4 linked regions of the Pelodiscus sinensis genome follow. The protein of the gene in region 3 purifies or fractionates together with the protein of the main gene of each other region. This does not show direct contact. Links are inferred from orthologs where the notes say so. Each region holds a gene or a part of one and is shown on either strand. Other genes may lie near its edges. The genes, in order: UBN1, UBN2, ASF1A and tonsoku-like protein.

The links.
Region 1: the proteins of ASF1A (region 3) and UBN1 purify together in Homo sapiens (affinity purification with mass spectrometry; 6 studies listed by BioGRID and IntAct, counting the BioPlex papers as one, with this or other methods). This does not show direct contact. The link is inferred for Pelodiscus sinensis from reciprocal best matches to the Homo sapiens genes ASF1A and UBN1.
Region 2: the proteins of ASF1A (region 3) and UBN2 purify together in Homo sapiens (affinity purification with mass spectrometry; 3 studies listed by BioGRID and IntAct, counting the BioPlex papers as one, with this or other methods). This does not show direct contact. The link is inferred for Pelodiscus sinensis from reciprocal best matches to the Homo sapiens genes ASF1A and UBN2.
Region 4: the proteins of ASF1A (region 3) and tonsoku-like protein purify together in Homo sapiens (affinity purification with mass spectrometry; 4 studies listed by BioGRID and IntAct, counting the BioPlex papers as one, with this or other methods). This does not show direct contact. The link is inferred for Pelodiscus sinensis from reciprocal best matches to the Homo sapiens genes ASF1A and TONSL.

What each region holds. Positions count from the first base shown.
Region 1 is NC_134726.1:5,831,059-5,838,911, forward strand, and holds the start of UBN1 (ubinuclein-1), read left to right. Parts: upstream 1-4,841; 5' UTR 4,842-5,000; intron 5,001-5,009; exon of another isoform or gene 5,010-5,551; intron 5,552-6,016; 5' UTR 6,017-6,624; coding exon 6,625-6,867; intron 6,868-7,853. Other genes in the region: GLYR1 (cytokine-like nuclear factor N-PAC), read right to left, coding at 694-773, 2,168-2,204, 4,637-4,674. UniProt on the Homo sapiens protein: Acts as a novel regulator of senescence. Involved in the formation of senescence-associated heterochromatin foci (SAHF), which represses expression of proliferation-promoting genes. Binds to proliferation-promoting genes.
Region 2 is NC_134711.1:87,635,706-87,642,565, forward strand, and holds the start of UBN2 (ubinuclein-2), read left to right. Parts: upstream 1-3,845; 5' UTR 3,846-4,028; coding exon 4,029-4,478; intron 4,479-6,860.
Region 3 is NC_134713.1:84,927,962-84,935,763, forward strand, and holds the start of ASF1A (histone chaperone ASF1A), read left to right. Parts: upstream 1-4,802; 5' UTR 4,803-4,805; coding exon of another isoform or gene 4,806-4,870; 5' UTR 4,871-5,029; coding exon 5,030-5,138; intron 5,139-6,267; coding exon 6,268-6,357; intron 6,358-7,802. Other genes in the region: DNA helicase MCM9, read right to left, coding at 1,427-1,601. UniProt on the Homo sapiens protein: Histone chaperone that facilitates histone deposition and histone exchange and removal during nucleosome assembly and disassembly.
Region 4 is NC_134712.1:957,266-964,620, forward strand, and holds the start of tonsoku-like protein, read right to left. Parts: upstream 3,017-7,355; 5' UTR 2,933-3,016; coding exon 2,902-2,932; intron 1,149-2,901; coding exon 1,053-1,148; intron 1-1,052. Other genes in the region: uncharacterized protein LOC102461747, read left to right, coding at 7,138-7,355. UniProt on the Homo sapiens protein: Component of the MMS22L-TONSL complex, a complex that promotes homologous recombination-mediated repair of double-strand breaks (DSBs) at stalled or collapsed replication forks.

The sequences.
Region 1 (7,853 bases), on a different chromosome or scaffold from region 3:
ACCAACTTTTTTTAAATTGGTCATTTTCTTCCTTGCTAAATGACTATTCAGGAAAATAACAAAACTAAAAATTACTTTAAATATTTAAAAAAAACAGTGGTGGGGGGAGGGAGTTGCCAACATTTCAGTTCCAGGAATCTGGAGTTATTTGTAGCAATAGGAGGTATATAATTGTCAGACTAGTGTGACTTCTTTCATTTTGGTACATGCCCTTCATCACAAAATGCTGTTTAATAAAAAAAGTGGTTTTTGGTAGGCTTACCACCGCTGTGATCTCAAATGCACAACAGTCTTCCCAAATATACAAGCAACATTTTGTGTCAAAATTCATAAAGAATACTTTATGAATGACAGAAATAAAACCATTTTATATTCATGACAGGAGAAACTAGAGACCCAAACTATGCCTGAAAAAAGTGACTGTTACACTACTGTTAACCCAGGTTCACCTATGCCCATGCAAGTGATCAACTACCAAAAACTCCATTATAGCAGCACTTAAAATCAACACATGCTTGCAGCCTTCATACACCCACATGAGAAGATGTATCACAGACCAATAGTTAAAATAAAGAGAATAGAAGGCAATCTTCCTCAGAGCTACACCTTATTATGCTAGCATAAAACTCTTTTAGGAAAGCCCTATGATTTAAAGAGCAACATTCTCATCAGATGAAGAGAGTGGGTACATACTGATCTTCTGTTCCAAAGAACTTCACAAAGAAGCACTTCTTTCCACGGGGTTTCTTCAGGTCTTTAGGCGGATTAACAATCTGAGGAGCAAAGAGAGGAGACAGTATTGTTTAGAGAGGCTGCAATAGCAGTCTGTGGCTTTTTCACGTTTACAGTATACATCTGCAAGAAACCCATTTCATGGGTTTTGCTAAAATATATTTTTAAAGCAAAACAGTGGTGGGGAGGTGCTTCTACTTGTAGCAAAGGTCTTCCACCCAATATACACAATCCATATATTTCTTTATGTTACTCACAGCACTGTGCCTAATGTTAGCATCAATTATCCTGTTGCATTATAGACTTAGCCTGCTATTTAGAATATAATATGGGACTTCTAATACAGCTGTTATGAATTCCATTATTTTCATGGCTTTTTTTTTTTCATTTTAAATAGTCATGTCTTTGGGTGTTGGGAGGCTTTTAGACCTGAGAAAGAAGGCACGTGTGAGTAAAGACGAACAAACCTTCTCTGTAAGCTACAAAGTTATACCTGTGATGCACAACACTGCACAGTGGAATTTTAGAGAGGCTTTATTGTGCAAAAAGATCAGCAACATGAGGCTCTCCCTATCCTCCAGGAGTAAAGTCTCTTTTTAAAATTTGGAAAGCGAAGCTGGGTTTATAGAGCCATGCTCCCGTAAGGAAACAGTCACTTAAGGCCTAGTCTTCAGTACAGAAAAGGATGCATTTCAGGGTTAAAATGCAAGTGAAGACAAGGTAGCTGTAGTTTTAATACAAGTTAGAAGAACAAGTTAATTCTACACTCCCATAGTCTTCACACAAGTTAGCTGGTCAAGTTAAAATGTACAAATTGCTTTGTCTTCAAGTTAAGCTAGCAAGTTAAGAACACACTTCGTTCTTTGTCATGAAGAGAACACCTATATTTGTTAGGTCACCACATTTACCTACATTAAAAAACAAAAATAGAACACTTTTTTTTAGTACTGCATCTGCAATCTGACTTAAAAAAAAAAAACCTTTCCATATTCCTGAACTTTTTATCCACAATCACCCTATGTTTTCTCCTGAAAAACATGACAAAACTGTAACTTTAAATATTAGTTTGAGAATCTGGACTCTCTTTTCCTATTTATTACTTAAGACCGTACATGTAGCCAATTTAGGCAATTTATTGGGGGGGGGGGGGAAGAGAAACCTGTCTTGCAGAAAGTGATAGGGATTAAATTGCTACAACTGAGGGATACAATCAGTTGCAAATTGGTTTCTACTGCTTTTTATTCCATCTGAATGGACAGTTGCTACTGACAGACTGAACTTCTGAATTACATAAAATTCCTGATGCATAGTCTGGTTGAAAACTGAGGCTAAACAGCTTCTTAGCTAAAAATCAAAGAAGAAAACTATAAGGATCTTAAATCTTCACTAGAATTATTTTCATGAACTGCTCCTTTCAGGATAGAAACACACTCACCTTTCCTGGCCAAGGAGGATACCGGCCCAGCTTCCCCCTGAAGAAAAATGAAATGATCAGCCACTAGCATCAGGAATGAGAATTGCTCCACTTTTATCTGTGTCCTCTACAATTTATTTCCAATATCCAGCACTTACATAATATAACCACAAGACCTACCAAGACAAAAAGAATTTTTCAGCTTGGAAGAACACTCACCAATACTCTTATCTTTCAACAAGTGCCATGTGAGCAAACTCCTATACCATGGTGAGCCCCAATGAAGTCTGCATGGGTCCAGACAACCACGCAAATGAAGCTCATTACAGGATCAGGGCCTAAATCATTAAGAAAAGAGGTGGCAAAGCTAGCACCCAAAAGATCTGTATTACAGTTCTTAGTGCTTTGATAAGACTGGATGTCATTTTGTTCCTCTCTTACAAATGACTAGTTTACTTGCCTGCATCAACATGAAATTCAGAGTTTGGGTGGATAACAAGACGCTTCACGACAGAACAGATGAATAAGCACAATAGCCATATGTTTCCAATTCAGGTAGCTGTGATTCCTAAAATGTACTATTTTATAACTTAAGACAGTAATTCCTATATCAAAGGTCGCAAAATTACTTCCATTATCACCCGTTTTTCCAGCCGCTCATTGAACTACTAAGATTGGTAAAACATACTGCAGGCCCACTAGAAACAGAGAAGTTTATTTCCTGCCTTTGCCAGTTTCATCACAAAGTATAAGCCAAACCATTTCCTCACAGACTAGGTGGGGAAAATCGGCATCAGCATGAAAGCCTAGTCCTTCTACGCCTGTCATTCAGACAGACTACAAATGTTCACAGAACCTTATCTGGCATCAGTCTCTGTCTTGCATGAGACTGGCAAAGGATCCGTATCAAGTACCTGAACTAAAATTCTCAGCAAATAGCACATCAACATCCATGAGGTGAAGATTCCAGAGAGGGCAAGCTGGTAATGGCAGAAACACTGCTTAGAAGGACACTAACCAATACCATGACTTTCTGTTACTGTCGCATTGATCCATTCTTCTTTTATCAAGTTTTTTCTGCTTTCCCATCTTCTTCCAAATCTTATGGCTGCAGTTCTTTCTAGGTGGGCCTAGCGGCTGTGCCTTGACTATATTGCCATGTATGAAACTCAAGTTGGATGATCTGTATTCAGAAACATCACTAACAGCAGTGCACTCCCCAACCACTCATTTGAAACAAGTTCGGCTAAAGGAATCAACCTTTACTTACTTTGCTATATAAATTAGACAGCTTCACACCACTGTCAATGTTTCGGATGAGAAACTGCAGTTGTCAGCCTGGACCACGCACTTCTTTTTATCTGGGATATAAATATAAATGCATACACTTGCGTGTTGGGGATTAGCTATTTGTTGCAGGACCTAGTGTGATGTCTACCCCGTCACTCAAAGCGAACTAGAAGCACAGTAAAACCTGTACACTTCAGAACAGTACTAACAAGCTTTGAAGGCGGTCCCATAAATCCTCATGGGCTGTAAATATGGAGGCCATGACTCCTCAACTGGGTTTGGGGATAAAGCAGTGGTGACAGGGGAAAGTTGGTCCTGTGAGCTCCAACAGGTTACCCCAACCTGGAAAAAAATCCCACTCCTGTATTATATTGCTTATCACATAAATCACTCCTTAAAAGCAGAACCCAGATTTTAAAGATCACCCCTTCTTTTCACTAGTCTCAGCCACCAAAGGATGACTCCCATATGATCAACACCATCCTCCAAGGAATCACTCCATTACCCCTCTTCCTCCACCTTCACTGTTCTCTAGGTGGTTGCTTCACCCTGCCCTGTAGTTCAAAAAAATGCTACAACAATTATTTTCCAACCCTTTTATTCCGACAGACTCCCAGGCAACAGCACATGACCCGTGTTACAGGTGAAGCCTATGCCATATTCACTCTGAAATAGAGCCCCATTGCACTGTAGCCCACCCTGTCCTTAACCCAGTAACGCCAGGCCAAGCAAGTCTCTGGCTCTATTCGCATACCCCGAAAGAGCCTCTGTGGCCCGTGTAATGCCCCCCCCCCCCAGTGATGCCTAGACAAGAGCCCTGCACCATCCCATCCCATCCCTGACACGACTCCAGACTGCCACCACCTCTGCAAGCGCCCAGCTGCCACCCTGCCCTGCCCCGCTCACAACCGCCCGGGCCCTGCACACGGGGAAGGCGGGGCTCGCTCCCACCCCCCGCATCAGCGCTTCAGGGTGCGCGAGCCCGGCTTGCCCGCCCCGTGGCTACCGCTGTGCCCCTCCCCCGGTTGCCCGCTATCGCTACGCGCACCCCGGGAGCGCCCCCGCCCCGGCACCACCCAGCCGCAGCCCCGCCCCCGCTCTCCGCTCTCTGCCTCCGCCCCGGTATCACACAGACCCCCCCCGCCCGCCGGCAACCGCCAGCCCCGCGCCCCAGTGGCCCGCCCCGGCCCCCACACTCACCACACCAGGTCTCCGAGCCGCAGACTCACAGCCGCCATCTTACCGACTCAGCCAGCAGCAGCAGCGCGGCGCAGGGGCTGCCGGGACGGGACGGGCACCGCCCACCTCGCGACCAGCCTCCGCGGCGGGGGCGGTGCCGCCGGGATAGGGCAGGCCGTGCCACGTGACCTGGGCGCGCTGTCACCGCGCCGCTCCCCCGCCCCCCCCCCGCGCGTGACCGCCTTCCTCGCGCCCATTGGCTTCCGGCGTAGCACGCGACCCTCTGTGGCCGCCTCCGCGCGGGCAGCGCCTCCGGCACGTGACGCGGGAGCAGGGACCGGCCCCGGCCCGGGAGTGCGCCGAGGCGGCGGAGCCCGGAGCGCTGGTGAGCCCGAGCGGGGCAGGGCTTGTCGCACAGCCCCTCCCCCCCCGCGCCTAGCGGTGTGGCCGGGCCAAGCCCCGCCCGCCTCCCGCCGGCCGGTCCCTCCCCCTCTGGCCCCACACGGGGGTCCGCGGGCCCGGCCCTGCTCCTCCCTCCGTTCCGCCCGCGCCGGGCCCGACCCCTCCCCTCCCTGCCGGGGCCGCGCGGGCCCAGAGGACCGTTACTGGCCCCGCTTGCCCGCCGCGGGCTCACCCGGGAGAGGGGACCCGAGCGCATCCCCGGGGCCGGTTTCCCTCTCTCCGCCCCCTGCCTTTGCTGGGCGCTATCGGGGTATCTGGCTTGGCGGGCACGTCCCCCCCCCCGGCAGTCCGGGGCCCCGTCCCCCTGTGCGTGGGTCAGATGCCCGGCCTGGGGCCGCCTGGAGCGGCTGGGACACAAGTCCCCCCCCAGGACTGGGGCGCGGAACCTTATTCGAGTGGGGGGCTGTTGACCCACAGGAAACCCGTCAGCGGCTGCACACAAGTGGGGGAAGACACCCCACACCCTTCACTCAGGTGGGCCCTGACTGGGAAGGGGAAAGACGCTCCCCACGTTCCCCTCGCACACCAGAGCCGTAGGCGGCCCAGGCTAGTAGATTTTGTGTGCTCCAGCCCTGGAGAAGGTTGGGGGTGGGGAGGGCTGGAGCTCCAGCCCGGCCTCCCCAAATCTGAGGGGAACCCTGAGCCTTGGGGACCAGATCCAGGCAAGCTGGGGGCTGGACCGTAGGTTCCCCATCACTGCCTCTAGGGGCTGTGTAGTGTCTGAGGCAGCTGCTGGCTTCCCCTCATTGGTTTGTGGAGCATTGAGTTTGTGACCCCCACTATGCTACGGGGGGTGTCACTTTCTGAGCCAGGCCATCAGCTGTCACTGACATTTTTTGAGCCAGTACTTATGTCAGCTGGATTTTTGAGGGGGTAGGTGGGTGTTCCCCTTAAATCCTTTTTGTTTTAAGCTGGATCTTTGTTTTCTTTTCTAATCAGAAATGTCAAGAAGATTCTTTGGGAGGCAGTCTCGTGTGCGCTGACCTTTAGGCATGGACCAGGCATCAGACAGTGGCAAGCATGTGTCTGAGCACAGTGCAGAGGAAGGGCAGGTGCATTTGGCTCTCCTGGCATCTTGATAATTGCCATCCAAAGCAAAGCGCTGATGCAGCGTGGCGTAGCCCAGACTGACGTTTGCGACAAAGGCGTGTTCAGTCATATTAAAACTGGTTTTCTGGAGGTTGCACTGTGCACCAGGTTATTTCACTCTGCCCTGTAGAAATGGAGTTGCACAGCGTTCAGGCGGCATCGTTACGGATGGGCAGGTATTAAAATGTAGGGGACTGCGAATTTTAGAGTTGTTTCTGCTCTGAGAATCAGCCTTTCTCTGAAGAATGCAGCAAGCTGTGAGACTGCCAGCTACAGCTATTTCTTAGGGATCTCTAATTCCAATAATCTTTTCTTCTTCCAATGTGCTCTTATCTCCTTAAACATCTGTTTGTCCTTTAATTGAAATCCCCATGTATGCACATGCACAAAGCTTCACCAGAACTTCTCTGAACTAATGGAAACCATGCCATGAGACCTGCGAAGACTTGATAATAGCCATGACGGAGCCCCACAGGGTTCAGTTCACCTCTTTGCCAGGCCCGCTAAGCAACACTTTCTTGAAGAAGCCTCGTAAAGAGGAGGCTGCAGGAGCAGAGCAGCCCCAGGACTCATCTGCATCAGCGGTTCGCCTCACACTCACTCTCTTTGAGCCAGATCACAAACGTTGTCCAGAATTCTTCTACCCAGAGCTTCTAAAGAATACTCGAGGGAAAGTGAAAGGTGTTTCCTCAGGTGACAAGGTGAGCATCTAATAACGTTCCACTTTTCAGCTAAGATTTCAGAATGCTCATTCTTTTTTGCCCATCTCCCAAGAGCATTGCCTGTATTAAGGATGAGCAAACTGAGGCTCAGAGTGGTGAAATAGCTTGTCAATGATCACAGACCTACTTGGTGATAGAACTAGGAATAGAAACCAGGACTACTTACTGCTAAATATGAACTCTTACTACTGAACAATATTCTCTTGTTATTTTTGCCTTATTAGAATTTTCCTTGAAATGACTTAAAGCAGTGTTTGGAAAGCACAACAGATAATGTCATAATGATGATTTGATTCGATACAGACTGAATGCAGTGCTTTGTTGGTACCAGGATTGCTTGAAACATGAATATTCATAAAAGAACATTGAAAGTAGATCTCCTTAACAGCTTGTACAATGGGAGCCTCTAGACGGACTCATACTCTACATAGATATTTCCATTTGAGTATTCTCTATTGGTACCTGCTTTTGTATATAAGTTGTTGTCAGTTAGCAGCTGAGGAATCTGCCAGCCAGTAGTGAGTAGGGAACTTTATACTTAAGAGGTCTTACCAGTCAGTTTCAACAGAAGCAAAACTTTCATTTTAAAGAATATAATTAAAATGTAAAGTGCTTCAAACTTAAAACTCACTTACATGCCAATTTTCTTCCACAATTTGATCTGAAGAAGTGTGTCTGGCCCACGAAAGCTCATCACCTAATAAACCATCTTGTTAGTCTTTAAAGTGCTACATAGTCCTGTTTTTTGTTTCAGCTAGACCAGCCTAACATGGCTACATATCTATTACTGTTCTACTTTTGTAAAGCATTTCTAGAGCTAACCAACAAAAAGTGCTTTGCAAGAGCAAGAATTGTTGTTAATGTTACCTGGAGAAATATTGACTGCAGTGCTGCTGCTGGTAACATTATGGTATTGCTTGGGAAAACTAACACATTCCCGTCAGTTGCATAGTTGCTGTCCAGAA
Region 2 (6,860 bases), on a different chromosome or scaffold from region 3:
AAGATGACATTGAAGAAGCAATCACTAACTGCTTAATAAGCAGTCTATTCTGGTATGAATTTGCCCAGTTTTATTCTCATCTAGTTTCAAAAGCAGTCAGACTGTGCTTGCTTAATACCTGCATAAGATCCCTTATAGGGAAAATATCTATAATATACATTTTGTACACTGTGTTACTTATAAGCCTCAAGCAAGAATGTTCACAGCTCTTTTACAACTATTGCCTTTGCATTCAGAAGTTTCCATTTCAAGTCTTGCTAAAAAGAATTCCTTATGAAGGATAATCCTTCATATTCATGTTACAGATGGGTGTGGTGGCTGCTTAAAACAAAACTGTGACTCATCTAAGTTGTTTAAAGCTTGACTGTGAATATAAATAAGACACAATATCCTGGCTTCAAAGTTCAACATTTCAAAGACTGATTTGCAACTTTAGACTGCCTCCGGATGAGGTGGCCTAATAGAATAGCTTTTTATACCAATCATGTATCCTACTCAGGCAGGCTTTGACCATCACACTGGTCTATTTTCTTTTTACTTGTCCTAAGTATTCATTTGATTTTTTTGGGCTCAATGGATCCTCCCCATATGCTGGAGGGGTGGAGGTCCTTTAGCCAGGGGCAGGCGTCCTGGACTGTAAAAAGACTTTTCGGTAATTCAGTCACTTACTATCAACACTATTTCCTGTGCCATATTATGCCACCCTTACTTCTGCGCTGTTGCCTTAAGGGCTAAGGCTACGTTTACACTACAATGTTTGCCGGAAGAGGCAATGCAAATGAAGCGCAGATTGGCATTTTCTCGTGCTTCATTTACATAATCTCTTCTGCTCTGTTTTTGTGCAAGGGGTTTTTGCGCTAAAACAAGCAGAGTGGATGTTTCCTTTTTGCGCAAAAAACTCTTTTGCGCAAGATCCTAATGCCTCAAAAAAGGAGGTATAATGATTTTGTGCAAAAGGGTTTTTTTGCGCAAAAAGGAAATAACAGAAACCAAGATAGACATAGATAAAAACAGAAGTGCCTGTCAATTGTATGACCCACCCGCTTAATTAGTCTCATTAACACAGGTCCTACAATTAACAGTTACCTCTGCTGTTATATATTACTTGTTTTCATTCCAGTGCATTTCTAATTCATAGAGTGGGTTTTACCCTTGACAGCTCATGATTCTATATATTTTGGTTAGTCTCTAAGGTGCCATAGGACTACTCGTTTTTAGTTAGAAAGTTTCCCCCAATATCTAACCTAAGAGTCCCATGCTCCATACTAAGCACATTTATTCTTGTCGTACCTTCAGTGGACATGGAAAACAAGAGATTACTATCCTCATAATATCCCTTAACATATTTGAAAACTATTATATCTCCTCCCCCTCAGTCTTTGCTTCTCAAGATTTAACATGCTCATTTTTAAAACCTTTCTTCATAGGTCAAGACTTTTATCTTCTTTGTTGCTCTTCTCTGGACTCTCTTGAATTTGTTCACAACTTTCCCAAAGTATGGTGCCCCAAACTGGACACCTCCCCTGAGGCATCACCAACACCACATAAAGTGGAACAGTTACTTCCCATGTTTTACACATGACTCTCCTGTTAATACACAAGATACAGAATATTTGCCTTTTCTGAAATTGTATCATATTCAATGTTCATATTCAATTTTTGATCCAATATAACTGAGCGCTTTTTTCCCTATTCAGTATAGAGAGATGTATCAGAATCAAATCACCTTGTTTCTTACTGTGAACTGGTAGCCTGTAAGAGGCACCAATAGCCCACTGTGTACTTTATTTGCTTGAACATCAAGCCACAAGCATTTAAGATTATTTCTTCCAAGTTATCAGTAACTCAGAAGCAGGCAGTGCCCTTTGGAGTGCCACTCCTGTGCTGCTTTGCCCACTTGATCCCTAAACAGTTTATAACCATTCATTTCTAACATTGCAGTTGTACAACTCATGCCACCAGGTTTCAGTAATACTAACTATCAAATTTAGAGTCATAAATGAGGAATTCCAAATCTACTTATTTTACCCAAGCTCCTAGCACTGGTGTTTAACCAATGAAATAATGTATTCATTTTATGTCCTTTGGTTTGTTGGTTTACACTCTCAGCATCTTGATTCTGTGCTAAATAAGTGGTCATCTCTTCCCTCTTTTTCCCCTCCCCTTTTGTTATTAGTTTACAAAAAGAGAGGACAAAAAAGGAAAGATTTTACTACAGGTTGCATCTCCCTAAACTGGGACTTTCTTGTCTGGCAACATCTGTGGTCCAGCAGGATACCAGACGAGAGAGTCATGGGGCAGGAGGGCCAGCAGCTGAGAGACCCAGGAAAGGCATGGCTGGTGGTAGTGGGGCCAGAGCCTCAGCAGACCAATGGCAGTAGTGCAGTAAGGTGCATGCTGCCCTGACAGCAGGGTTGTGCCGCAGCAACATGAGCAGGACTGGTTCCAGCCTGCCAGTGGGGACAGAGCCACAACAGCCTGGCTGGCAGTAAGGACACCAAGAGAAGCCCATCTGGGGCCACATGCTGGCTGGCAGCAGGATTGGTGCTACAGCAGCAGGCCAGGGCTGCGTGCTGCTGCGCACTGCTGTGCCAGTGGGACTGGAGCAGCAGTTCTGGCAGCAGGGCCGGGGGCAGCCGTGTCGCCAGGCCAGCAGTGGGGACTGAAGGAGCTAGCGGTAGGGAAAGACAGCAGGCAGAGAGAGCCAGAGGCAGGGGACCTGCCCTGGTGCAGCAAATTCCCTAATCGGGGACTGCTAAGATCCCCAGAGTGCTGGATCAATGAGGTCCAACATCTCACGTATTTAGTTCTCAAAGAGAATGGTGCCAAGTTTGCCTCACGGAGTTCCTTAAGTTAAGATGAAGTGAATTTAATCAGGCCCTGACAATTTGAATATATCTAATTTATCATAATACTGTAACCTGTTGTTTTTCTCTTCTGGCTTGTATTCTTTCTAACATATCTAGTCACGATCTTTATTAGTGAAGACTGAAAAAAAATTATTAAAACACCTCAACCTGTTTAGGGCCATCTGTTATTCACACAACTCACCAATGGAAAAAAGGTCTTACATTTTCCTTCCTCAAAGTATTTTAGCCTCACTTCTTACTGCCTTTTATGTCCTTTGGTAGCTGTAACATCCACGTGCTAATCTTTTGTACTCATCCTGGCACTCCGCCACCGCCTTTCCAGGGGCTGTATTTTTTTTAAAAAACCGTTTTGGTTATTAAACATCTTCTGCCACCGTCCTAGTGATCTCGTTCTCTCCGGTCTTTCCTCTGCGGGACACTTCCCGGTTTTCCAGTCGGAGAGGTGACAGCTGAGGTTCCCGGCCCCCTCGCGCAAGGGGCAGGACTCACCTCGGCTGCCGGGGGCCGGAGGGCGCTCCGGGAAGCTGAAGCGGCTCGCGCGCCCACCCCTCCCCAGCCGCGTCACACGCGCCCGCCCCGAGCAGGCCGAGTCGCTGAGGTGGCCCCATTGCTCCCTGGAGAGCTGAGGGAGGGACCTCTCCGGCGGCGCGCCCGGCACCGGGCCCTGCGTCTAGCGCTGCAGGACCGCCCCGGGGGTCGCGGTGCTGCCCATGTCCGTGCCCCGGGTCACGTAGGCCTCACGGCGCGGCGCCTCCGCCATCCGGCAGGCTCTGTGCGAACCCCTGCGCCGGGTAACCTGCGCTCGTGGCCCTTTAAGAGCCTTACCGCAGGCAGCGTGTATATTTCCAAGGCAACTGGGGGCGGGAGCTGGCGTCAGAAGCTTGTGGGCACTGGGGCTGCCGTGACGTAGTAACCGATGAGCAATAACAACAGCGACTTGGGGCGGTTCAACCAGGGCCCACGTTGTCTTACGCATGCGCGGCCCAGCAGCCTGCTTCTATTTATGTGGGGGGGCTCCAAAATGGCGGCGGTGCTAGCAGCGAGGCGAACGTAGGGAGCAGCTCCGATCGGGTGGGGAGGGAGGGAGGAGGAGCCGGCGGGGGAGTGTCGCCGTACGGGTGAGGCGGGGGCCGGTGAGTGGGGGGCGGGGGTCGGAGGATGGCGGAGCCGCGCCGGGTGCCGTTCATTAGTCTGTCACCCGTGAGGCGACGCGAGGGTGAGAGCCCGTCGCTGGAGCGCGAGCTCGGGGGCCGCGAGCCGGAGCAGCAGCAGCTATTGCTAGGGCGCGAGGTGCCGCCGCCGCCAGAGCAGCCGCCGCCGCCGCACGAGCTCTCCCGGCCGGAACCACAGGCTCAGCCGCCGCGCGAGACCAGCCCTCGGCCGGAGCCGCCGCGCGAGACCAGCTGGCCTGAGCAGTGCGAGCCCCCCCGGCCTGAGCCGCCGCAACAGCAGCAGCGCGAGAGTAGCCGGCAGGAGCCGCCGCCGCCGCAGGAGGCGCCACAGCCGCGCCAGACGGTCCGCTTGGAGGTGGTGCTGAAGGACCCCACCGAGGAGAGCTGCGTGGAGTTCAGCTACCCCGAGCTGCTGCTGCTGTGCGGGGAGCCGCGGGTACGGGACCCCAACTCCTCCCCGGGGAGCCGCGCGCAGCGCCCACCCCATGACCAACCCCGTCCCTGGAGTGTGGTGCCTGCCTCCTCTCTCCGGCTCGGGCGCCTGGCCCATAGCCAACCGCGCCCGCAGCCTGTCGGCAGGTTGCTGGGCGCCTCTGAATCCGGGGGTGGGCCCCGCTGGAGATGGACCGGGCAGCGCGTTGCTGAGGAGCCTAGGTGCCCTACTCTTCATATGCCCTGTGCAGAGGAGAGGACTCCATCTCCACGCTTTCTGGCTGCTGGTTTCAGTACAGTTTCCCTTCCTTAGACTCCAGAGTGCTGCCTCTCTGTGTCAGGAGGCCTGACTATCAGGGCATGCCTCTCTCAGGTTTTTATTCCCTGTAAGTTGGTCGAGTGCTTCCTTTCTTGCGGTGAGCTTTTTCAGACAGCTGCAGAGTGAAACTGACAGCTCCTGACAGGTCACACTTGTCTGCAAGGTTTTGAGCAGCAGGGTGAAACTGAGGCAGTCTTATGTGAGGTTCTTGGCTTGGCAAAGGTACACTGTTAGCAGTAGCAGTGCTGGAGGTATGTCCCTGTAGATTCAGGCTTATTTGGAATGTTAGACTTGTTAAATACTTCACTTTATCGGGGAGTAGGGGGAGAACTTCTGAATTCTGGGGCAAACCTCCTCCCCAAAATGGGTGGCTCATGCCCTTGCACTCTCCAGAAAAAGCTTCCCATTTGGAACTGGAGAGTAGATTACAAAAAAGCTTTATGCAAGGTAGGCTGCACCTGCTGCTCATCAGAGACCAGTATGTGGAGCAATGTTAGAATAGATACTTTAGACCTATTCTGTTCTTACCAGTTCTTGAGTGTTGAATGCTGCCTATCATATCCAAATGCTTTTTGTAGGTGCTGACAGTAGTGAAGTCACTTAGAGGATTTATGTAATTGTTGTTTTTCCTCTCATTGGTATAGAAAACACTGGGGTATATGTTCTCTCTTTGGGAATGTGGGGCTAGGTTGAGAATATGGACAGAATGACAGAATTCTGGTCATGCTGGATATATTGATTACAAAAGGCGTAAATACCGTTGTCTGTAGCACCATTTGACTTGGCCATCCAGAGCATTGGGGTGATCAGGGATGGGGAAGCTTTTTTGCGTTGAGGGCCTCTGGTCCACAGAAAAATCAGTCCGAGGCCACACACAAGTGAGAAGCAAAACAAAAAACAAACCCCTCCCCAAACTCTTACTGATATGGCCCCCAACTGAGAAGGAGAGAGAGACTCCCTACATTCCCCTCACACATCAGAGCCTACAGGGGCCCAGGCTAGTAGATTTGTGTGCTCCAGCCCCATGGTGGGACAGTGAAGGGGTGGTGGTTGGGGTGCTAGCATGGGCTCCCTAATGCTATGGGGAGTCCTGAGCCCGGGCCTTAGGTTTTCCACCACTGGGGTAGATAAACCCTGGGTACTCATTCAAAGCCTTTGAATGAGACAATACTACATCTTGATGTTCTACCCCTTTGACCTTATGCTCTTTTTGGAGAAATAGCATCACTTCTTCCTTCAGATTCAAGGGATTTCAGAAAATTAGAAGTGAAGATTCTGACTATCTCTTTTGGATCTGCTTTTCATAATGAGGTCCCTTCCTACAGCTACTGTGAATGTCCAGTGCAAGTTCAGGTTACTTAAATGGCTAGCTCGTAGTGAAAACCTATATATTGCATATAGGGATCTAAGGAATATTAGAGTTACTATCTTTGTTCCTGTATGAACATTAAATGGTGTTGAGTGAGGGAGCTGGAAATGAATGTTAAATGTTCAGAGGTTTAGTGTTTGTGATAGCTGAGTTCTTGTGCATTTTTAGTCCAGTTTTTACTTAAGGTCTCTGTATATGTAATTCGGTTAACATAATAGTCATATCTGGCTTGCAGGTGACTTCTCTTTCCCCCTTTGAAAGCATGAAAAATTAGTTTTGGCCATTGTTGTTACTGATTGCGCTGACAAGAGCCTTCTCTAAACTTAAAAAAAGTTGCATTGCTTTAACGATGCCAATATAATTTAAGTGTAAATTTATATTACTATTCATGTGGATAAACTGGTTTAAAGCTGCATTACATCAGGGAAATACAACTTAGATTAGGCTACCATAAGGTGGGTTCATAACTGTCTGGATAACTGTTCTCAGAGAATAGTTGTCAATAGTTCACAGGCATGCTGGAAGGGCATATGGTTCATTGGGGATCCATTTTGGGACTGGTTCTGTTCAGTATCTTCATCAATGATTTAGATATAGGCATAGAGAGTACACTTATTATGTTTACAGGTGATACCTAGCTGGGAGGGGCTGTAAAGTGCTTTAGAGCATAGGGTCATAGTTCAAAATGATCTGGACAA
Region 3 (7,802 bases):
CCTCTGATCTAGATGGTGCCTGGACCTGCCATGAGGGCAGGGGACTGAACTCGAAGACCTCTCAAGGTCCCTTCCCGTTCTAGTGTTCTATGATTCTATGATTCAGTTAAATACCATTCTGAAGAGTACAATTGTTTAGGCTGACTGTGTTCTGCTTCCCCTCCAAAAAAGCAACATTAGTGAGCCAGGTTCTCTCTTCACTCCAGACCACGCCCAATTTGGCACAAGGTGCTGATGCAGAGGGAACCCCAGCCCACCTTAAGTCTTAGGCATTGGTGACCTCCACTAGCCTGCTCAAAGAGGAGCAGCCAGGATACCTTGTTGGAGTTGCCCATATTGAATTAAATATGGAAATGAGATGCTCTGTACCAAGGGGTTATGTATTTTGAAAATGAATTTCACTCTATTCTACTCCACTATGAAGTTTAATGTTCATTATGCTACAGATTTTTGTACTGACAACAAATATACAGCTACCTATGAGAAGTTGTCAGAGACACGGCAAAGGAGCCCAGAAACCACAGAAAAAAGATCGGGACTGTGTGATAAGGTTGTTAGCTATAGGTTTATGCAGTTAAATGGTTAACAGCATTGAAATTAAGTTCATTGGGTTTCAGAGGGCTACTTTAAGTGAATGGAGGCAGTTTGTTCCTGATTTGAAGCTTTTTTTGGGGGGGGAGCTTATTATAATAATCTGTAACCCACTAGCCCCCTTTTTGACCCGATGGCCATTTCACCTTTGTTGGGTACTTAGAATATGCGCTAATTACCTACACTAAGCTATCTCTTTGATCCTGTATTTAGCTACAACTCTCAGTACCTTTCCCAGAGATGAACAAGAGCTCTGTATAGCTCAAAAGTTGTCTCTCCCACCAATAAAAGATGCTGCCTCACCCATCTTATCTCTCAGATATTTTTCAGTCTGTTTCCAGGCTTAGACAGAAATCATTAATTTTACCCTTGACTCACATTTGGAAGTCAACAGTCTGGGCTAGAAACACAAGAATCTATTCTCCACTATATTTATTATATTAGCTGTGGGCAGTTGTGTCTGTATAAGATTAATGTAAAGTGAGACTTGACCCAAGAGAATTGTGCCCACACAACACTTCGGAGGTTATTTCTCCTATATACACAGTAGGTAGTTGCGGTTATGCTGAAAAGAACTCTGAACTGAGCTGTAAGCTCCAACCTGGACACAGGTTAAATCAAAAGAGAGGTGGTCATCAGAAATCCACCACCAGGAATAAACTTGACAGGGGCGCAAAGGAGTCTCCCTTGAAATTTTAAAACAAAACTGTATAGTATAGTAAAGAAATATGTAAATTGGTCGGGGGAAACCTACATCTAACATTTATTTTTATATTTCAGAATTGAGAGAAAAGACATTTTGTTATTTCATCACATGCATTTAAATGTCACTTACCCTGCCTTAGCTACACTGATGGTTTGTTGCTCCATTGCTTCATGTATGCTGGTTCTGTCATGTTCCTTGATGCTATTAAACTCATCAATACAACAAAGACCTCCATCTGCAAGCACGAGTGCACCAGCTTCCAAATTCCATTCTCCAGAATCCTTTACTGCAGTTACCGTCAAACCTGAAGAATGTTCATTCCAATTTAATATTTTTTTAAAGTATGTGTGCATTTGAAAGAAAGGGAGGGATGAAATAAACTAGCTAGTGCCAGGAAGAGGGAGAGAAAGCACCCCATTTAGAAGTTAAAATTTTGACAGGGGAATAAGGGGACGGTGCACCTCCCAAGATATGGTGTTAAAAGCTTCACCAAAGAGTTCTGCTAATGTACCTCAATTCAGACCTGCTGGTACAACATCCCCTCTATAACAATCCAGGTAATGGCAGGAAAATCTGCCAAGCATGCCACATTTTAAGGTGATGGTTTTACGATATGAACAATTTACAAAAGGAAGTAGAATGAGAGAGGACTAAATCTGTCGTATCAAATTAATTTTTGGTGCAAATTCAATGCTATTAGCAAAGTTATGCCAGGAACACAACTGATCCACTATCAACACTTAAGGCATCAAAAAAAAAAAAAAAGACCATTCAACAAATGCTGCAAAATAAATCATTTTAACATATCTTTCCACAGAGACCAACTCCTCAGTTCGTGAAGCAGAAGTGATTGTTGTTTCCACAAACCTGTGAACTGGGTCTGACAAAGTTTCTCTTTGTTTATTGGATTCATTTGAATGTCCAATTTAAGTGAAACATGAGAGCAGGAATCCATGGGTATTGAAACCAAAGAAAAAGTTCCCCACTGCATCTGCAAATGGACGCAGCTGATTGTGACGTGCTGTAATTAAGCCTCACAGCACTGAGACCCTGAAGAGTTTGAATTTCTGCCTGATGCATTTCTTGTTTACATATCAAGACTATTCAATTTTCACTTTCTCCAGCAAGTCAGTTCTTTTCTCTAATAACACTTAGTTCTGAAGAGGAGTTAACAACTTCAGGATAATGCTATCAGTAGGTATTTATGTAATATGAGGGGATTTGAGATTGCAACTACAACTACTAGGATGGCCATCCATCCTTAAACATCTGCAACTCCCCTTCTCCCCTCCTAATCTCTCTTTTATCTTCTGCCAAGTTCCTCCCTTTCCTTCTCCCAAGCTCTTTCCCCCCACACTCCATTACTGCTTGAATCACACATGGTCCTATGCCCCACACTCCATAGCTCCTAAAGATGTTATGGAATGCTAGGGCCACATCCAATCCAAAGATCATCTTGCTAGAACGGCAATGGGTTCAAAGATCTTAATGGAGCCCAGGAACCACCAACCCTTTGGCTGGTGCAGTTTTTGTCAGTGCAGTTCCATACTTCCAATAGGCAGTGAAGAATTAATAAGCATAGAATTGTTTTACTGACACACTACATGTTTTTTAGGGAGATTGGCCATGATGAATCTTTCTCATTTTGTCTCATCCTCCCTGATCTCTTGGACTTTGCTTCACTCTAGTAAGCACAGTACAATGTAGACAATGTCATCTGGCTGTTTAAATAGCAGTTATAAAAACTGAAGTAAATTCCAGCACTGTGAGAAGCATAAAAAACAGTCGAGATCATATTCAGGACAGTATAATTTCTTTGTAAATACAGACCAAGATTGTCCCCTGCTCTGGAAGAACATACAAGAGGGAGCCTCTGAGAGGAAACCTCACTGCAACCCTCAGGGATCTGCTGAAGACACAGAATCTCTGCGTCCAGCACTGCTCTCCAGATCTCTACAGGCTCCTTGTCAGCATTGCTCAGACTTTCCATGCAGGCAGTATCCTCTGAAATACTGCCTTAGATAAGACACTCCATTACACTCAAGGGCTCAATTCAGAAATTAATACAAACTGAACCTGTATTTATTTGTGAGTAGATTTCCCAGGGAATTGTGAGTGACATTCCACGCAGTCTTTCATCTTGGCTCCTTCTCAGCCACAGATCCATGACCCTGCCAGTTACTCTCTCCAGAGGCTAGAGGGAAGGGGCCTGGTGCCACTTATCTGAGTCATTGCCCCATCTTCCATGAGCAAAGAGTGAGATCTTCATGAAGAGGCCCCTTCCATATGGACCTTGAGGACTGTTCCAGCTCATTGTACCTCATTATCTAGCATCTCTTCAAACATAACAAATTGGATCCCACAGCCATTTCTTGCCTACTCTCAAGTCAAGTGAAGAGAGCCATTGACATCAAAGACTTTAATTGTATAAGTCCTGGTCTACAGAAGGAATTTACTTTGGTATAGCTATGTCTCTCAAGGATGTCAAAAATCCACCACCCCTCAAAGACATTCCTATACTGACCTCCTGAACTCCTGGTGTAGACCTGTGCTACATTGACAGAACAATTCTTGGGGAGGTGGATTACTTGCACCGATGGGAGAAGCTCTGTCGTCCATGTAGTTAGAAGTGATGTGAATGCATAATCACCTGGGCTCATCCACTAACCTTCACAGTTACATGCAGGCTCCTGGTATGTGTGGGGAGCTGGCTTAAAAGCTGCTCCCCATGCGCACTGGCTCTCAAGAAGCTGAGTAGTCCTCTTGCCCCCCATGCTGCTGCCTCTGTTTCAGAGGCAGCAGCATGGGCGGGGGGAAGGTGGGAGCCAACTGCCCCCCACCACTACTGAAATTTTTAGTGGTTACACAGTTAATTAAATGCAGTTTAGCATCCCTAGTAGTTAGTGTCTACACTGAAGCACTACAATGGTGCAGCTGCACTGCTTCATTTTAAGTGTGAACAAGCCCTCAGCAAGAACTTCTCATGTAAAGATTTCAGGCCTGGTCCCTTAAATCCCATGGGTTTATTTGAAATGCACCATTATACAGCAGAAATAAAGTCAATGAGGGTAAACAGATTTAAAACTAGCAAGAGAAAAAAAAATCAGCAACTTCAACTATGTTTTCCTTAATGAAATAATTCTATTCATCATCTGGCCACACAGAGAAGAAAACCTGGATTTGGAAAAAAAGAAAAAAGGGAGGGGGATAATAAACAAGGAGAGGAAAAACAAAAAGCCAACTCCATCCAGTGGTGCCTTGCACATATTTTGTGAGCACAGTACTCAAACTCAGACTACAAGCTCATCCTTCATTCATTAGTTCCTCCCAGTTTCATTTATGCTAGTCACTTTGTTCCAAGCCTTTTTCCTACTCTGGGCCAGCAGGTGGAGCAGCAGCTAATGTTTTTCAGTCCATTCAGAGCAAAGGAGCCCATCTTGTTCTTTCAGGAAGCTTCAGGAGGAGGGTCATAGCTCAGTGTGCAGCCAATCAGTGCCAACGCTGCCAGTTAACAGAGCAGAATGGGCTGTAGTTTAGTGAAATAGGAAAGCTGCAAAACAGTGTGGAGTGTTCCTATTGTAAATAAAAGAAAAAAAAAGTTTCTCAAGTCACAGCTCTACAACCTTGATCAAGTACTGGCACTGGAGTGTGTGCTTTACAAAAAAACAACACATTGGACTTTACTGTGCTGCATTAACCCCCTATTCCTATTGTTTGTATTTTTTTCAAAATATGGCAAAGGTTCAGGTGAACAATGTAGTGGTGTTGGATAATCCTTCGCCTTTCTACAATCCTTTTCAATTCGAAATCACGTTTGAATGCATAGAGGATCTGTCTGAAGGTGAGTAGATTTTTCCCCAGTACGGATTTTATAACCAGGGCTATTAGTTTCAGGTTTTAAACGGTTTAAACTTTGCAAAGGCCTGGTTCTACTATTTAACAGTTTCTCTTTCTCTGTCTCGGTGTGACTAGATGAAAGGATGTGCTGGCAGGCATCTAAATGCTGCTTAGAAATGCTCTGTCTTAGGCTGACGCGGTTAGGCTGAAAGGCAAAGGAAAGTTGATTATTGTGTCCTCTGCTGCAGAGTTGAGTGCTGCTGTATTTCGGATCCAAACCCTGCATTTTATAACGTAAGCTTAAGTTGCCAGGAACTTGTTTGAGTGGTGGTAGCCATGTTGCCAGCTTTGTGTTTGTGTGTGTCTGTGTGTGTGTGAGAGAGGGAGGGGGTTAACGAGCACATCTCTCATGCATCCCTTTTGCTGAAGTGAACTGTTGCTGAGCAGAGCCAAGAGGAATGCTGCCGAAAGGTTGCACAAAGTGGAGAACACCCCCCACCCCCAAGAAATAAAATATTTTCATTGTCTTGACAATCGATTCGAATACTTTGGGGGGAAATATTTCGAGAGGGGTGGGCTGCTCCAAGTAGAGATTCAAATGTAGCTGCAGCACTTAGTATTTTACAAAATGTCTGAAAATAATCAAACTAGCCGATTGAATCCCTTTACAGATTTAGTATTATTCCGGCTATTAACACTCCCCGCCCCGAGAGAGAGGAAGGGAGGGCGGGGGAGGGAAATAGTATTTTTAGAACTCACTTGAAAGTTGCTGTTGGGTGGTAGCCTGGGGGTGTAGGTGTACCCTGCTATGTCCTGCCAGCTAGGAATCTCAGGTTCTGTCTTCAAACCTAGTCTTTTGCTCCCCAGCCTGCCCAGAGCGGGGTGCGTTGTGCAGGGAGTGCGGTCAGCATGTATCCACCCACTCCTGAGTGAAGGGGGTGGACTAGACATTAACCTCTTGTGTCGCTCAGCTGCGACGCCTCCAGGGCTGGCTACTCTTACCAAATACTTTAGCAATCCACAGGCATCGTCCAAAAAGGTTTACAGCAGTGGTCCTACAGTGCATTGGGCCAGTGCTGCAGGTTAACAAGATGTTTACAGCAGAAAGTAAAATCCATTTCTCTTCTGGCCAGAGGAGCACTCTGGGACCCCTGGTCTCACCACTGGACTAAAAGAAGGGAGCAAGCTTCCTCCAGCTTCCCTCAGGAGCACTGGCACAACAGGTGAATGAAGCAGGCTAGTGACCAATCTTAAGCATTTGAGGGAGGAGTGGGAGTACCTTTGGCCACAAGGCATTCAGCTTGTGCTTTCTTGTGTCCCCCATGAAGAGGGCAGAACCATTAGGAGCTATTTATACCCTAACACTGTCAGTGACATGTGATACCTGGGGATCCCAACATTTTAAGCAGTAGGGGAAAATAAACTTACTTATTTCTGGTTTTACTTTATGGGTGACTAAACAGTTCAAAGCTTGGGTAATGGGATATGTGGGGTGTTTTGTATCTTTGTGCCACTAATACAAATCCAGTCCAAATCTGTAACTTTCAGTCATTGCTACTTTATTATGTATTGGTGACTTAACACAAAATGCATTTGGTGAGACCAGTTCCATGGGGAGCAAGTGTCCACATCACAGAAAACACCACCACCTTTGGTCTATCATAATTGCTGGCACTCTCCATAAGGGCCCTGTGTACAATTAAGACTTGCTTAAATTATCTTACTGCTACCCTAGTATTAGTGCTGTTCACCATTTCTTTTAGTTGGAGAAGTAGCTGCCATTTTTTTGTAGGGATTCATGGTAAACACCTGTGCTGAGCCAGTGAGAAATTTTTTAAAGATTTCTCAAGTGTAAACAAGGCTTCCATGGTGTTACTCTTTAAGACTTTTTGGATGCCACCAATGCTGCAAAGAGCTTCAGCCCTCTCTTCCTATGTATGTGCATTTGTATTTATCACTCTCAACACCAGATTGATTTAAATGAAAGTTGGGCCAGGTTGATTAGTGTATAAATTAGCAGAAAAAAGAAGTTTACTTCATTTTTTTGCACTATTATCCCTGTGTTCAGCTGAGAATGAAAAGTAGAGGTACATCACAATCACCACATCTACTTCCATATGGCCACAGCTATTGAGCTTTCATAGAAGTCATTACAATGATTATTATTACAAATAATCTTCAAATAATCTTCATCATTTTATGAAGAAGGTTGTGTCCTTGCTTTAATGTCCAAACACTAAATATCTCAGTCATCTATTGTGCTTTTTTCTCCAAAGCAGACCAATCACTTGCCAATTTAATTTTAAAATTTCATCTATTTAGTCAAAACAATTTTAAAAGTTACTGTTGGACACAGAGTCCTAATAGGATTTGATAATTACCCTTTTTGCATACAATTCTGAAAGAGCATTTACTTCCTGTAACCGTGCCCCCATATGATTCCTAATCTGTTTTATACTATCAGTAGGGTTCCCAGATAGTTTCACAAAAAATACTGAACATGGCGGGGGAAAAAATTAGTTGAGCACAAAACAAAACAAACAAAAAAAAAACCACAAAAAAAGTCATGACGCCTTTAAATCCTACACTCCCGAATGTCCCAAGTGGCCTTCTGTCCGGAAAAAAACCCAGAAAATACCGGACATTTTACATGTCTGATATTTTCTGG
Region 4 (7,355 bases), on a different chromosome or scaffold from region 3:
CGACAGACACGGGCTGAGATTCAACATGCCGAAGCAGACAAGGCAATGGGACTTACGGTCTAATTAGAAGAATTTCGGCTCCCGGGGGGGCTGGCCACTAGGTGACGAGGAGCCACCAATGCGACGCAGCCAGGAGGCCGGCAGAGGCTCTCGGGCGAGGGCTCTCCAGTCCCTGGTCGGTACACAGCTCCAGAAGAGCAGCCCCGGCAAACCCAGCGCCACTGCCCGACCACAGATGTGACGTCACCCAGCAGCCGGGCAGAGAAGAGCCGCTGGGCTCGGCTGAGGCGACCAGAGGGCCTGGCTCGGGGAGCTCCCCCAGAGAAGGCTGCAAGGGCAGCTCCTGGCTCTCTGGTGATACGCCGGGAGGGGAGCCCCAGGGAGGGGCTGAGCTGGGGGTCGAAGGAACACAACCAAGGGCCCTGAACCAGGTCAGCCGACAATGAGGAGGAGTTCGGGGGAGGGGAGGTTTGGGAGCTGCCTCCCACCGGAGACAAACTACGTTGCTAGGTTTGGGGGGGACTCGCCTTCGTGCGCAGGGTGCGGGTCACTCGCCAGGGTTCTCCATCCTCAGCAGGAGAAAGGTCGGCTCTGTGGCCGGCAGCCTCCCCCAGCTGGTCCCAGCCTGCGGCCTTCTCTCTCCAGTCCCCAGGGCCAGGCACCCCTCCTCCCGCGCGGTTAAACAGCCAAGAGCATGGCACCATGCCCGGCTCTGGAACCCACCGGGGGCTGCTCCTGGGCCCCGGGCTCCCCACAGGAGGACAGAGGGGAGCCCCATGCAGACGCCTCTCCGGAAACAGCACGCCCGGCCCCCTGCTACGCTGGGCATCGGAGCCGACGGGCCAGCGACCGGCTTCTACGGATCCCAGCCCACAGATCCCACTCGGCCCCTGGGCGTGGCAGGGCCTCATGCTTCCAGCTCCCCGCAGAGGGAGAACTCAAGGGACAAGGCAGGGCCCCCAAACCTCTCCAGCCCCCCCCCGCGCCAGCCTTGCCATCAGACAGCCAGGAGCGAACCGGCCACCCTCAGCACCGGGCCAGGCCCCGCTCACCATGTCGAGCCAAGATCTCCCCAAGCTGGTTGCAAAGGACAGCTTCCTCCTTGAGGCTCCCGCTCCTCTGGGCCTTGTCCTTCGCCTTCTGGAGCTCTGGGGGCGGCAGGAGAGGGACCCTCAGCCCTGGCAGGCCCACGGTCCTCGGCCCTCTGCCTAGGGAGCGCCCGGCACAGGGCCCCAAGGCTAGTGATGGGGCCTTACTCCTGGGCCCTGCCCTCTTGCATCTGGCTCCAGCTCCCCCAGCCCATCAGTCCCAGCTACACCCCCGCCAGCCGCAAAACCCCCAAACCCGCGAGACCAGCCACCTCCCAGCCCCACCACTGCCCAGCCCCCCCGCCCCCAGTACCCGCCCAGCCCCCCAGTACCGCCCAGCCCCCCAACACTGCCCTGCCCCCCAACACTGCCCTGCCCCCCAGTACCGCCCAGCCCCCCAACACTGCCCAACCCCCAGTACCGCCCAGCCCCCCAACACTGCCCTGCCCCCCAGTACCCGCCCTGCCCCCCAGTACCGCCCAGCCCCCCAACACTGCCCTGCCCCCAACACTGCCCAGCCCCCCAGTACCGCCCAGCCCCCCAACACTGCCCTGCCCCCCAGTACCACCCAGCCCCCCACCACTGCCCAACCCCCCAGTACCGCCCCGCCCCCCAACACTGCCCTGCCCCCCAGTACCGCCCCGCCCCCCAACACTGCCCTGCCCCCCAGTACCGCCCAGACCCCCAACACTGCCCTGCCCCCCAGTACCGCCCCGCCCCCCAACACTGCCCTGCCCCTCCAGTACCGCCCAGACCCCCAACACTGCCCTACCCCCCCCCAGTACCCGCCCTGCCCCCCAACACTGCCCTACCCCCCCAGTACCGCCCCGCCCCCCAACACTGCCCCTACCCCCCCCAGTACCCGCCCTGCCCCCCAACACTACCCTACCCCCCCAGTACCGCCCAGACCCCCAACACCGCCCCGCCCCCCCAGTACCGCCCAGACCCCCAACACTGCCCTGCCCCCCAGTACCCGCCCAGACCCCAACACCGCCCTGCCCCTCCAGTACCGCCCCGCCCCCCAACACTGCCCTGCCCCTCCAGTACCCGCCCAGGACCCCCAACACTGCCCTGCCCCCCCAGTACCGCCCAGACCCCCAACACCGCCCTGCCCCTCCAGTACCCGCCCCGCCCCCCAACACTGCCCTGCCCCTCCAGTACCGCCCAGACCCCCAACACCGCCCTGCCCCTCCAGTACCGCCCCCGCCCCCCAACACTGCCCTGCCCCCCAGTACCGCCCTGCCCCCCAACACTGCCCTGCCCCCCAGTTACCGCCCTGCCCCCCAACACTGCCCTGCCCCTCCAGTACCGCCCAGCCCCCCAACACTGCCCTGCCCCCCAGTACCGCCCTGCCCCCCCAACACTGCCCTGCCCCTCCAGTACCGCCCAGCCCCCCAACACTGCCCAGCCCCTCCAGTACCCGCCCAGCCCCCCCAACACTGCCCTGCCCCTCCAGTACCGCCCAGCCCCCCAACACTGCCCTGCCCCTCCAGTACCGCCCAGCCCCCCCAACACTGCCCAGCCCCTCCAGTACCGCCCAGCCCCCCAACACTGCCCTGCCCCTCCAGTACCGCCCTGCCCCCCAACACTGCCCTGCCCCTCCAGTACCGCCCAGCCCCCCAACACCGCCCTGCCCCCCAACACTGCCCTGCCCCTCCAGTACCGCCCAGCCCCCCAACACTGCCCTGCCCCTCCAGTACCGCCCAGCCCCCCAACACTGCCCTGCCCCCCAGTACCGCCCTGCCCCCCAACACTGCCCAGCCCCCAGTACCGCCCCGCCCCCGATCGCCCCCCCCGCGGCCCCCCCGCTCACGGCGGATCTCCCGGCTCCGCTCCCCGCTCATCCCGCCGCGCCGGGTTCGCGCCGCGCCCGCCCCTCCCCAGAGGCGAACGCCATTGGCCAGCAGTCACCGCGAGAACAGACCCCATAGCCAATCACAAGCCGAGGCCTGCCGGCCCGCCCACCCGCTCAGCCCGCCCCCCTCTCCTGATAGGCTGCAGCGGAATCCATCCACGGGGAAACCTGCCCAGCGAGCTGCGCTTGCGCGGGACCCGGCACTACAGCTCCCAGCATGCCCCGCGAACGCGCCCTGCGCGGGCCCACAGGGCCGACTTCCCGCCTGGCTGAGGCTCGCACGCGCCGTAGGCACAGGGGCCGCGCTGCATGCCGGGATGCGTAGTCCGGCCAGGCCCTGGCCCGCGAGCGTGTCGGCCGGCGTGTCCGGGCAGGGGCGGGAGCAGCGCCCTGGTAGGTAGGGGCGGGGCTGCTCGGCCGGGCCCCATTCACCTGGGGGGGGGGGATGCACCCGCACCCCGACCCGGGCTGCACCCCCCCCGCCCCGGGGCACCCCGCTCCCCCCGGCCGGGCTGCACCCCACTGCACCGGGGCACCCCGCTCCCCCCCCGGCCGGGCTGCACCCCCCCGCCCCGGGGCACCCCGCTCCCCCCCCGGCCGGGCTGCACCCCACTGCACCGAGACACCCCGCTCCCCCCGGCCGGGCTGCACCCCCCCGCCCCGGGGCACCCCGCTCCCCCCCCCAGCCGGGCTGCACCCCCCCGCCCCGGGGCACCCCGCTCCCCCCCCCGGCCGGGCTGCACCCCCCCGCCCCGGGGCACCCCGCTCCCCCCCCCCGGCCGGGCTGCACCCCTCTGCACCGGGGCACCCCGCTCCCCCCCCGGCCGGGCTGCACCCCAATGCACCGGGGCACCCCGCTCCCCCCCGGCCGGGCTGCACCCCTCTGCACCGGGGCACCCCGCTCCCCCCCCCCGGCCGGGCTGCACCCCCCCGCCCCGGGGCACCCCGCTCCCCCCCCGGCCGGGCTGCACCCCACTGCACCGGGGCACCCCGCTCCCCCCCGGCCGGGCTGCACCCCCCCGCCCCGGGGCACCCCGCTCCCCCCCCGGCCGGGCTGCACCCCACTGCCCCGGGGCACCCCGCTCCCCCCCGCCGGGCTGCACCCCACTGCACCGGGGCACCCCGCTCCCCCCCGGCCGGGCTGCACCCCACTGCACCGGGGCACCCCGCTCCCCCCCCGGCCGGGCTGCACCCCACTGCACCGGGGCACCCCGCTCCCCCCCCCGGCCAGGCTGCACCCCACTGCACCGGGGCACCCCGCTCCCCCCGGCCGGGCTGCACCCCCCCCGCCCCGGGGCACCCCGCTCCCCCCCCCGGCCGGGCTGCACCCCACTGCACCGGGGCACCCCCGCTCCCCCCGGCCGGGCTGCACCCCCCCCGCCCCGGGGCACCCCGCTCCCCCCCCCCAGCCGGGCTGCACCCCCCCCCGCCCCGGGGCACCCCGCTCCCCCCCCCCGGCCGGGCTGCACCCCCCCGCCCCGGGGCACCCCGCTCCCCCCCCGGCCGGGCTGCACCCCTCTGCACCGGGGCACCCCGCTCCCCCCCCCCGGCCGGGCTGCACCCCCCCCGCCCCCGGGGCACCCCGCTCCCCCCCCCCGGCCGGGCTGCACCCCCCCGCCCCCCGCTCCCCCCCCCCGGCCGGGCTGCACCCCCCCGCCCCGGGGCACCCCGCTCCCCCCCCCCCGGCCGGGCTGCACCCCCCCGCCCCGGGGCACCCCGCTCCCCCCCCCGGCCGGGCTGCACCCCACTGCACCGGGGCACCCCGCTCCCCCCCCGGCCGGGCTGCACCCCCCCGCCCCGGGGCACCCCGCTCCCCCCCGGCCGGGCTGCACCCCACTGCCCCGGGGCACCCCGCTCCCCCCCGGCGGGCTGCACCCCACTGCACCGGGGCACCCCGCTCCCCCCCCGGCCGGGCTGCACCCCACTGCACCGGGGCACCCCGCTCCCCCCCGGCCGGGCTGCACCCCACTGCACCGGGGCACCCCGCTCCCCCCCCCGGCCGGGCTGCACCCCCACTGCACCGGGGCACCCCGCTCCCCCCCCGGCCGGGCTGCACCCCACTGCACCGGGGCACCCCGCTCCCCCCCCGGCCGGGCTGCACCCCACTGCACCGGGGCACCCCGCTCCCCCCCCGGCCAGGCTGCACCCCACTTCCCCCCGAGCCGGGCTGCACCCCACTTCCCCCCGCCCCGGGGCACCCCGCTCCCCCCCCCCCGGCCGGGCTGCACCCCACTGCACCGGGGCACCCTGCTCCCCCCCGGCCGGGCTGCACCCCACTGCACCGGGGCACCCCGCTCCCCCCCCGGCCGGGCTGCACCCCACTGCACCGGGGCACCCCCGCTCCCCCCCCGAGCCGGGCTGCACCCCACTTCCCCCCGAGCGGGCTGCACCCCACTTCCCCCGGCCGGGCTGCACCCCACTCCCCCGGGGCACCCCGCTCCCCTCGAGCCGGGCTGCACCCCACTTCCCCCCGAGCCGGGCTGCACCCCACTGCACCAGGGCACCCAGAGGTACCCCTGGCTGGACTATTCCCCAATGAACCCCGCACCCAGCGGTGCCCCTAGCCAAACTGCCCAAGTTGCGCTGCCCAGTCAGTCAGGCCATGCTCTGGCCATGGAGCGGGTTCAAACCCCTCTGGGGCGCCAGTCTGCCTCCACCAGGGGCATGTCACCGCGCTGGGCCCGCTCACCTGGGCCCCTTGCTGCGCTGGGTGTGGGGGGGGGGGGTGTTCACACCCCCTAAGCCAGAAAGTTCCAGTGCAGGAAAGCGCCGGTTAGACCTGACCTCAGGTCCCACCCGTGGCTACTGCCCGTCCGTTGTTCTAGCCCAGCGCCTGGGGTCGCAATCCGATGGCCCAGCTGAGAACAAAGGCGCCTTTCCATCCCGCTGCGCCGTGACGCCCCGTACGCAGAGGCCGGAGATTCTAAGGAAGTTCCTTTAGTGAGGCTCAGCTGGGAGGGGGGACGCAAGACAAATCCGACTCCCGCACACGGTCCGGTACTGGGGAGGGGTTGAGAACCGCTGCTTTGCACGGCTGTAAACCCACCCTGCCCCGACAATGGAATGGTCAGATCTTATCTCACCCCCCTTTCAGGCTGTTCATGGCACCCCACCACGGAGACACTTGTCATGCGGTTACAGCCCTGTGCTGTGAAAGGCCCATGTGCATGGAGATCGAAGTAGGCCCAGGCATATTGTGACCGTATTCCTGTCACCGAGGCATGGCTTAATAATGCTCTCGCAGACATGGCAAATGGTAAACCTGCAAGCATGGAGTTTGACGTGCCGGCTGCCCCACGTGATGCTCTGCCCAGGGCGGCACAAATTGAACTGATGCAAATAGAGAGGCCCTTGCAGAATGCGGGGAGGTCTACGCTATTCCAAGATCTTTCCGGTATGCTGAAAGAGCTGCTTTGCGTCTTTTGAGCAAGCCTGTTATTTCAAAATAAAACAGGCACGCTATTCCGACGTCCCTGTAAACCTCATTCCACGAGGCATAAGGGACGTTTTGGAATAGCACTTTATTTCAGAATTTGGCACTGCAAAATAAGCGATTTGGAAACTAACTCAAAATAAGCTAGGCAATTTGCGTAGCTCAAATTGCCTAGCTTATTGTGAGCTAAGGGTGCAGTGCAGATGCACCCTCATTGCGCATGCTGGTCACAACACCTATATTAACTATTACAAAAAACAGGACTAGGTAGCACTTTAAAGACTAACAAGATAGTTTATTAGGTGATGAGTATTAATCTGAGGAAGTGGGTCTGGCCCACGAAAGCTCATCACCTAATAAACCATCTTGTTAGTCTTTAAAGTGCTACATTGTCCTGTTTTTTGTTTCAGCTAGACAAGCCTAACACGGCTATATCTCTGTTACTATATTAACTTTAGCTGCACCGGAAACAAAAATAGCTTGACACATTCCAGAGGATAAAGTAGAAAAAGTCCAGTTTTAAGGGGACTTGTACAGTATCTCATCGGAAGTATTGACCAGACACCAAAAGCTACTGCCATTTTCTATAGTCTAGCATCCTGTAGCAGATAAAACCCGAAGTGAGTGTAATATCTGTCAAAACAATGTGTGATTGACTCTTTGACTAACTTTTTTAAGCAGCAGGGAGCAACCGGCCTCCACCGTTAACCCTCTGATCTGGTGGCGAAACCGTGCTGCAGCCAGACTAGCAGGGAGACAAAATGACTGAACCCGACAAGAAAAAGAGTCGAAGGCTGTGCACATTTAAAGACGAGTGGCTGCAACGGCCAGAGTATCGGAATTGGCTTATAAAGGCAAGCGACGACTCGGGCTACTGTTCTGTTTGTCGGGTGCAGCTCACCGTCAAGTTTGATTCTGCAAAAGCTATCAAGCGCCATGCAGAAACAAAGGGTCACAAAGTCAAAGCGCAAGGACAGGG